Tribolium castaneum: one gene and its partner. The protein of the gene in region 2 interacts with the protein of the main gene of each other region in a pairwise test. Links are inferred from orthologs where the notes say so. Each region holds a gene or a part of one and is shown on either strand. Other genes may lie near its edges.

Evidence for each region. The genes of interacting proteins can lie anywhere in the genome.
Region 1: the proteins of wal (region 2) and Etfb interact in a two-hybrid assay, tested with the Drosophila melanogaster proteins (2 studies listed by BioGRID). The link is inferred for Tribolium castaneum from reciprocal best matches to the Drosophila melanogaster genes wal and Etfb.

What each region holds. Positions count from the first base shown.
Region 1 is NC_087396.1:10,352,172-10,355,674, forward strand, and holds Etfb (electron transfer flavoprotein subunit beta), read right to left. Parts: upstream 2,088-3,503; 5' UTR 1,980-2,087; coding exon 1,929-1,979; intron 1,877-1,928; coding exon 1,478-1,876; intron 1,426-1,477; coding exon 1,114-1,425; 3' UTR 959-1,113; downstream 1-958. Other genes in the region: V-type proton ATPase subunit G, read right to left, coding at 2,250-2,339, 2,442-2,641, 2,799-2,880.
Region 2 is NC_087403.1:1,723,525-1,729,141, forward strand, and holds wal (electron transfer flavoprotein subunit alpha, mitochondrial), read right to left. Parts: upstream 3,031-5,617; 5' UTR 2,908-3,030; coding exon 2,872-2,907; intron 2,820-2,871; coding exon 2,402-2,819; intron 2,350-2,401; coding exon 1,982-2,349; intron 1,935-1,981; coding exon 1,755-1,934; 3' UTR 1,699-1,754; downstream 1-1,698. Other genes in the region: protein ABHD8, read left to right, coding at 273-657, 706-819.

The sequences.
Region 1 (3,503 bases), on a different chromosome or scaffold from region 2:
TCTGAAACACCAAAAACGTAAAAATTTAACTGTAAAGAACTATATCTCGTGAAAAAGGGCACAAACAATTTTTTGTCACAGGAACTTTTAATTCAGTTTGATGTCCTTTATCAGCACCCGAAAGATTGTCCGGTACTTTAAAATCACCCTATATTTTTCTTTTTTATGATGTTTCGCTATCTTGTCGACGTCCTTATCCTTATCTGTAAATCCTTCCCTAAATTCATAAAAATAACAAGAAACTAATGCAAATTTAGTGGTACATTACATGTTCCAGTCGATTTGACTTCTTTATTCAAAAATAAGCCCTAAAATCTTAAATTTTTAGACCTTTCAGCACCTTTTCATGCAGAATATCAAACCTAAACAGAAAGCTACGAAATTATAATTAGTTATAATTGTAATTAAATATTATTTTTGCGTTTTTTGAGCATTTTAGCTAATTTTTTAAACAGAAACGCAACTATTTCACAAAATGTCGAAAACAAGCCAAAAATGGTATCATTTTCGTCTTTTTCTCAAACTTTTAACAACGTATTTTTGCAAAACCAAACCGAAAAATTATTGTAATTGTATAATTATTTACATTGTTATAATAAAAAATACTCTAGGAGCTAATCCGCTTTACGTCTCCCACACTCTTTGGTGGTGAATTCTGAAATGGGTTTTCTGTGTGAGAAATTTAAATGTGACGTGAGGTTGACATTGCACATTTTGAGTTATACCATAAAAAAATATCTCAATTTGTGCAATTATATTATGAGACTCGTCATTTCATTAGTTTTCCACCGAAAAAACAGTAATTGCATTCATCAGTGCCACAAAGAAACGGTTTAAAATTTCATGTTCACCAGAAGGTGCAGATATCTTAAGCTTGTATAACGTCATTAAACAATTTAATTTAGTGATTTAAGGTTTTAATATGGCCAATTGTAAACATTGAAATCAAAAGATGTAATCAAGTGAATTATTTATTTTTTGTGATGGCAACACGGTACACCGTGTGACCCAATATTTGGTCCTCTGTAAGCTGACTCAATAAAGAAAGACTTGTTTCTTAGTAAAATATGTTTTTATAAAAATTTACAGTTGCACCTAACATCCCTTTTGTACTTAAATATGACCTCCTTCTTTCAATTTTCCAACAAGTGCATCCACATCGGGCAAAATAGCTCCGGCTTGACGCACTGGCGGATCTTCCACACTGACCACAGTGATCCTAGGAGACACATCAACCCCCAAATCCTTTGGAGTCATTTTAGTAATTGGCTTCTTCTTCGCTTTCATAATATTTGGCAGAGTAGCATATCGTGGCTCGTTCAAACGCAAGTCGGCGCTTATCAAAGCCGGGAGCTTGCACTTGATCGTCTCCAAACCCCCATCAACCTCCCTGGTCACGGTGATTTCCTTATCACCCTTTTCTATCTAAAATAATTATTGGTAACACTTAAATACATTTCTCAACCGGAAAACGTACCTTTGAAGCAAACGTAGCTTGGGGCCAATCTAAGGCGGCGGCAGTCATCTGAGCCGTCTGATTCGAGTCGTCATCAATTGCCTGCTTGCCAACTATGATCATGTCGGCTTTTTCCTTCTCGGCCAGTTTGGCCAAAATTTTTGAAACGTGGATCGGTTGGAGGGTTTCGTATTCAGCCCCTGAGACCTCGACGTGAATGCCCTTATCCACACCCATGGCAAGGGCCGTTCTGATCACGTCTTGGGCCTGAGTTGGACCACAAGAAACTGCGATGATTTCAGACGCTAGTTTCTTTTCTTTCATACGGACGGCCTCCTCTACGGCTATTTCGTCGAAGGGGTTCATCGAGTGTTTCACCCCATCGGTGACAACCCCGGTTTTATCGGGCTTAACCCGAATCTGTAAATCTCCACTAGTGAACAAAAAGCGAAAATAAGGTGTCAAAACGTACCTTAACGGCATAGTCGATGACTCTTTTAACCCCAACTAACACACGAGCCATTGCTACAACAAGTTGTAAAGGAATTAAATAATTGGGAGGTATTACAAAAATTGGACCATTGGACTTTGACACTTCTATCAAAGTTGACGTTTCATAACGAAGTTGGCGACCCTGTCCAAATAGGAGCGGGAATTCAAAAGAAACGACGCTCAACACCAATGAATTTATTATCATGAGAAACAAGAAACTGTTATTTATATTAAACAAGCTGGAGTAACAATGATAGAGTTGTGCTAAACAGTACCGAAAAATTGTGTCAGAAGCTGCAAGTTAGATTTTCCCGAAGACTCTCATTATCTTGTAGTTGGGATGCACCTCAGGCCGCACATTCAGCACCAAATAGAGCAAATCGGCCAAAACCTAAACAGACAATAATTGAATTAGAAATAAAACGCGAGTCTGTGGCCGCAGCCGTAAATAAAATCACGCAATTTACAAACACTCCCAAAATAGAAGCGCTACCTTTTCTTTGTTGGTTTTCACGTCATTTTCCACCCCAATGATGATCTGTTCGGTGTTTTTATCAATTCTGGCGGCGATGTCCTCCTTCGAGCCCAAATGTTTGGCCTCGTACTCCCTAAATTGCCTCTCTCTTTCTTTTCTGTAATTTTCAATTTCCGCCTGGGCTTCCTCTCTCGCTTGCTTAATTCTGCGCGCTTTTCCTAATAATAGGAAAATTGGGATAATGTACGACTTGCTGAGATGCGTAAATTGTCAAAATATTTATAAAACTAACGTGTCAAAATGTGCATTAACTTGCAGAAATAACACGGAGTAGCTCTAAATATAAACCGCAACTTTTATAAATAAAATACTTACGTTTCCTGGCTTCGGCGACTTTTTCAGCTGCCCTTTTTTCAGCAGTCAGCAACTGCTGAATGCCTTGAGTTTGACTTGCCATTGCAAAATGGAGCAAGACACTTAGATGTTGTGGTATTAATGAAATTATGCCTCAATTGTATTAAATTGCTTAAGTGTGTAGAGGGGCAACAGAAATTATTTAAAAATAGAAATACCGAATTTTCGGTACGTCGTTACATAAGCAGCGACTATCACTACAGGAAAGGCAATCAATTTCAACTACAAGTGTGACCAGTAAGGTGGGTATTAAATCTATTGTTGTGATACAGAGGAAATACAAATTGGCTCTTTTGTCGCCTCTACTCCTAATTAATATTGTGCACACTGAAAAAGCCATTTGTACCAGTGATGTCAGCCACAATAATTGGAACAGCAATCATCTTAATTTTGATGGCCTTTGCAATTAAAACTTTATTATCACTTTGATACTTCAATTCTGTTTTTAACAATTTACAAAAATTATAGACTGAATCACTTCAGAAAACATTTTTTTTGTAAATTTGAAATTTTGATACTAGTGGCGAGGTAAGGAAATAAAAAAACTGTTTGAACAAGTTGTTTATACGATATTTTTTCTATTTCGCGCTTTTATTAGGGAATTTCGTGTACGCAAAATGTAGTACTTGCCACCAATATTAAAAACAAAACATACTAGGCAAGTAA
Region 2 (5,617 bases):
CTTACAAACGCTTCATAATTTTTAATGGCGGTTTTCCCGCTATCAAAACATAAAGTAGCGCAATTTTAAATTGATGTATATGACAAAAACGCTTTGTTAATAAAGTTTTTAATTTTTTTCTTTCATTCGGTTATAATCTTACCAATTATGATTGATTACAATTATTACTCCTCAATTACTATAATTTTTCAATTACAGTTAACTGTAAACTGCTCAATGAAATATTATAAAAGTTGTTGAATTTACAAAATTCTGGGAGCAATTTTTTCCAGTTGTAGCATCGTCACAGCCCTCTACCGCCACAGGGCGCCCCAAATCTCGCAGTTAATCTTAATCAGTGGCGGCGGGCCTACACCTCTGGCAGCTCCGGTCAAAAACAGCGAAATTTCGCCATTTGGGTGCATCCACACCCTATTCAAGCCGCTACTTTTCTGTGGCTTGAAACGGAGTTTCCTGTTTTCTTCCCGTGGAAAGCATTTCGAGGTTTGTGAGGGCGAGTCGGCCATACCTCCTCGAATCCTGGAATACATCTCAAGGGGGCAAAACTGGCCGGAGGGCGACGCTGCCTTCCATAGGCGCATCCTTGTGCCCACGTTACTCGTGCATGGGCTGCAGGATAAAAACGTTACGCTTGTACAACAATGTGAGATGGAGAGGGTTTGTTTCGTGGTTTTGAGGGGGCACTGCGATAGTTGACTGTTTTAGACCATACCGAGGGCCTTTCTGGAACTGATCCCAAATGCGGGGCATATGGCCATGATCGAAACGCCGGAGCATCTCAGCCATATGATCTTGTGTTTTATTGACACCTGGAGCTAATTATCTGATATTTATTTTTATTTATTTTTATACTTTTTACCAGAGCCGGATCGAGACACAGTTTCACCTGTTTTACAGTAGGTGAAAGTCTTAGTGAGGCGGAAAAGTACATTTAAAATTTTTATTACAATTACAAAATTTTACGATTTTTATTTAACTTGTTTTGTTGTCTGTGTTATATCTTTCGGGTTAAATGTGAGAAATTTCTGTTATCCAAATGAGCTGAAATTTTGCATACACACGTAATCTCCGTACTATTTAGTTAATTAGCCCTTAATAATAAAAATTATTAATAATTGTATTCTTGCGGATGATAATATATTCTTTGTCATGTAGATGCTATTAGTAAAATAATTCTAAAATATTTATTATGCAATGTTTTAGTGGAAGTAAATTGTGAAATGTTTGAAAAAGCTTGTACTAAAATTTACTTACCTATAACGGTCTTTTTACCGCTTTACACCTTATCAAAATTCTAAAGTTGTAGATAAATTTCAGAGAAAACATAATTAACCATTTTTAATTCTTTTTTACTTTTAACAGCTAATCATTTTCAATTCATTATTTCCTTAATGGTTTACAAAACTGTTAGCACTTTTTCTGTTTAGTGTTATGTAACCTTTGTTGAATAATTATTACTCCTGTTAAAAAACCAAATTTATTAACAAAAATCGTAAATACACATTTGGCGCCCTTTGTGTGGGCCCCTCACCCTCGATCCGGCCCTGGTTTTATTGTTTGACGAACTTCAGCCTGAATTAACTATGTGATATAAGAAGTGCAAGTATTAATCCGTCCGATAACGTAACGAAGTATTATTTTTTACTCACTTTAATAAAGTTTTTCAACCGAATAAATGCGTTTAATTGAAACCCCCAATCAGTGTTTTATAGTAACAAGTTTATTTTCAAAAATATAATCTTTACAAAACGTTTTTAAGACAATTTGCTGGTCAGTTCTGGCACGGCTTTGAACAAATCAGCGACCAATCCGTAATCGGCGACCTGGAAAATTGGAGCTTCCGGGTCCTTGTTGATTGCGACGATAGTTTTGCTGTCCTTCATCCCAGCCAAGTGCTGGATGGCCCCCGAAATGCCCACAGCGATGTACAAATCCTAGAGAAAAAATAATTACGTGCCCTTTGAACCCGTGGCGAACATACCGGTGCGACGATTTTGCCAGTCTGTCCAACTTGAAGATCGTTCGGAACGAACCCTGCGTCCACAGCGGCCCTGGAAGCCCCCACGGCGGCATTCAACTTGTCGGCAAGATCGTACAAAAGCTTGAAATTGTCGCCCGATTTCAGCCCACGGCCCCCACTGACCACCACCTTGGCACTGGTTAACTCAGGCCGGTCGGACTTGCTCAACTGTTGCCCCACGAAGACAGTCATGTCGGTGGCGCAGCCGTCGGTGGGCACAGTCTCGGTCTTGGCCGAGCCCCCTTCCAGCTTATCGGCCTCGAAACTGGTCCCTCGGACGCTTATTATTTTGATGGGGTCGTTGGCTTTCATAGTCTGGATTGCGTTGCCTTTGAAGGAGGCATTCAGCAATTTTAATTTTTTGGGGGTTGTTATTATTACCTGCATAGATGCTCCGCACGAAGGTGTCGGGGGACTTGATCCCGATGACGTCAGACACGGGGGAGACGTCCAGCTTGGCAGCAACCCGGGGCAAAAGGGCCTTTCCGAAGGCGGAAGCCCCGGCTATGATGTGGGTGTAATTGAACTGTTTTTGCGTTGAGATGATGAGAGGGGTCAGGCTTTCGGCCGTGAAGCCGTTAAAGGCATCGCTCTCCGCGATGAGGATTTTCGAAAGTCCGTTTGCTTTTGCTAGGGCTTCCGCCGCAGGGCCGCATTTTGTGCCGGCGACAAGGACGGAGATTTCGCCCCCGATTTTCTTAGCTGCAGTCAACGCATTTTGCGTAATGGGGTTAAGGCCCTTGTTGTCGTGCTCGGCGATAATTAGGGTACTTTGCAGGCGTTTCAAATGATTGGAAAACTAAAAACTGATCAGTGAGCAAGATGTTATATAACCACAATTATATAAATACCTGGGACGTTAACTGACGCGAACAATTCGAAAACATTTTGCTAAGTCTACAAATTCTTCTACTTTATTAATTATTTAATGATTTTATCAAAGTACATAGAGTTCAAAGTACACCTGACAGTGACAGATGTAGTGTTGCCAGTTCAACAAAACTAAATTAACCAAATGCTAGATACCACTAATTTTCGCACTAAAATTTCACATTGCCAGTTTCTGTTTAAATATAAACATGCATTTTTATTTTTCCATTAACTGCATGCGAAACTTTTATAATTTTAGACGTTTATAGACAAATACATTTGTCATAATTAATTTTTCTAGATCAATACTGTTCTATTTTGAATAATTCTGTGTATGAATGTTTCTAAATTTGACGGATTTGGACAGTGAGTGTTTCTGGTTATGATTTGTTTTAGACGTGTGATGACGTCACATCCGAGGTTAGGTGTGCGGCGCAGGCGGCGAGGGCGGTTCAGTCGACAGCGAGCAGTGGTGCGGGTCAGATCGGGAGCGGGAGCGGGAGGCGAGGCGAAGCGAGGTGAGTCGGTTTATTTAAATTATTGTGTATTGTGCGGTTTCGTTCAATTTATTCAGTTTGTTACTTGCCGTTGTCGCGAACGGACGTGTGTTCAAGCAAATCTAAATTTTCCGGTTTAAATTTTCAATTCGGTGGCTAGTGATCGCGTTTGAGTGACACATTTTAAATACAGTAAATAAAATTATTATCAAACACTCAAATAATTTATTGCCACGTAATAATTTTGTCTTTAATTTCAATGAATGAAAGTGGCTTGCTCAAAATTTAATGCAAATAAACATTTTTTTGGTTTCATTTTTATTATTATTTTTTTTAATGCTACAAACGGTAGCCAACGTGGAAGCGATATGAAGGTAGGTGTATTTTATTGCTGTGTCGTATTTATTTATTTCACAAACCAATAATTTCATAAAACTTAAATGCAATTAAAATCTTTAAATGCGGTGTTGAAAAGTGATATTTTGAGTGACACATTTTAAATACAGTAACTATAAATAAAATAAAACACTCAAATAATTAATTGCCACGTAATAATTTTGTCTTTAATTTCAATGAATGAAAGTGGCTTGCTCAAAATTTAATGCAAATAAACATTTTTTTGGTTTCATTTTTATTATTATTTTTTTTAATGCTACAAACGGTAGCCAACGTGGAAGCGATATGAAGGTAGGTGTATTTTATTGCTGTGTCGTATTTATTTATTTCACAAACCAATAATTTCAAACGTATTGTGTATTTTTTATTTTGTTTAATATTGACAAACGTTGCTTGTTGTAACTTTCATGCAAATAAAGATTTTTATTGGTGTTGTTTTAATTTTTTAAATGTCTTGCTACAAACAGTAGCCAACGCAGAAGCCATATGAAGGTAGGTGCATTTTTTTGCGTTTTATCTTGTGATGTGTTGGTTTAATAGCTTGTGTGCCATATATTATACCGTATTGTGTATCCTTTATTCTGTATAATATTTATTAAAGTCGCTTGTTGTAACTTTCCTACAAATTAATTTTTTTGTTGGTTGTGTTTTTAATTTATTTTTTAGGTTTTGCTACAAATGGTAGCAGATGCAGTACAAAAGGTAAGAGCATTTATTTAACGCCAAGTGAAAAAGCTTTGATTTTTGTGTACTATTTTTTCATTTCACAAACCAATAATTCCTTTATTCCCTTCATTTGAAATAATCATTGTTTACCTCATCCTTATATCCTTTTTTCCTGGCAAGAATGCTCTAAACCTCCACGTGGTTCTTGCCGGACAAATTAGTTATTGACTAATTTGACCAATTAGAGCAATCCTTAAATATAACATTGTTGACTGTTTTTTACAGCCGTAAAATTATGTCGCTTGTTGTAATTTTCATGCAAATAAAGATTTTTTATTGGTGTTGTTTTTAATTTTTTTTAATGCTACAAACGGTAGCCAACGTGGAAGCGATATGAAGGTAGGTGTATTTTATTGCTGTGTCGTATTTATTTATTTCTCAAACCAATAATTTCATAAAACTTAATTGCAATTAAAATCTTTAAATGCGGTGTTGAAAGTGACATTTTGAGTGACGCATTTTAGATACAGAAATTATAAATAAAATAAAACACTCAAATAATTTATTGCCACGTAATTTTGTCTTTAATTTCAATGAATGAAAGTGGCTGCTCAAAATTTAATGCAAATAAACATTTTTTTGGTTTCATTTTTATTATTATTTTTTTTAATGCTACAAACGGTAGCCAACGTGGAAGCGATATGAAGGTAGGTGTATTTTATTGCTGTGTCGTATTTATTTATTTCTCAAACCAATAATTTCATAAAACTTAAATGCAATTAAAATCTTTAAATGCGGTGTTGAAAAGTGATATTTTGAGTGACACATTTTAAATACAGTAACTATAAATGAAATAAAACACTCAAATAATTTATTGCCACGTAATTTTGTCTTTAATTTCAATGAATGAAAGTGGCTGCTGAAAATTTAATGCAAATAAACATTTTTTTGGTTTCATTTTTATTATTATTTTTTTTAGTGCTACAAACGGTAGCCAACGTGGAAGCGATATGAAGGTAGGTGTATTTTATTGCTGTGTCGTATTTATTTATTTCACAAACCAATAATTTCATAAAACTTAATTGCAATTAAAATCTTTAAATGCGGTGTTGAAAAGTGATATTTTGAGTGACACATTTTAAATACAGGAAATAAAACACTCAAATAA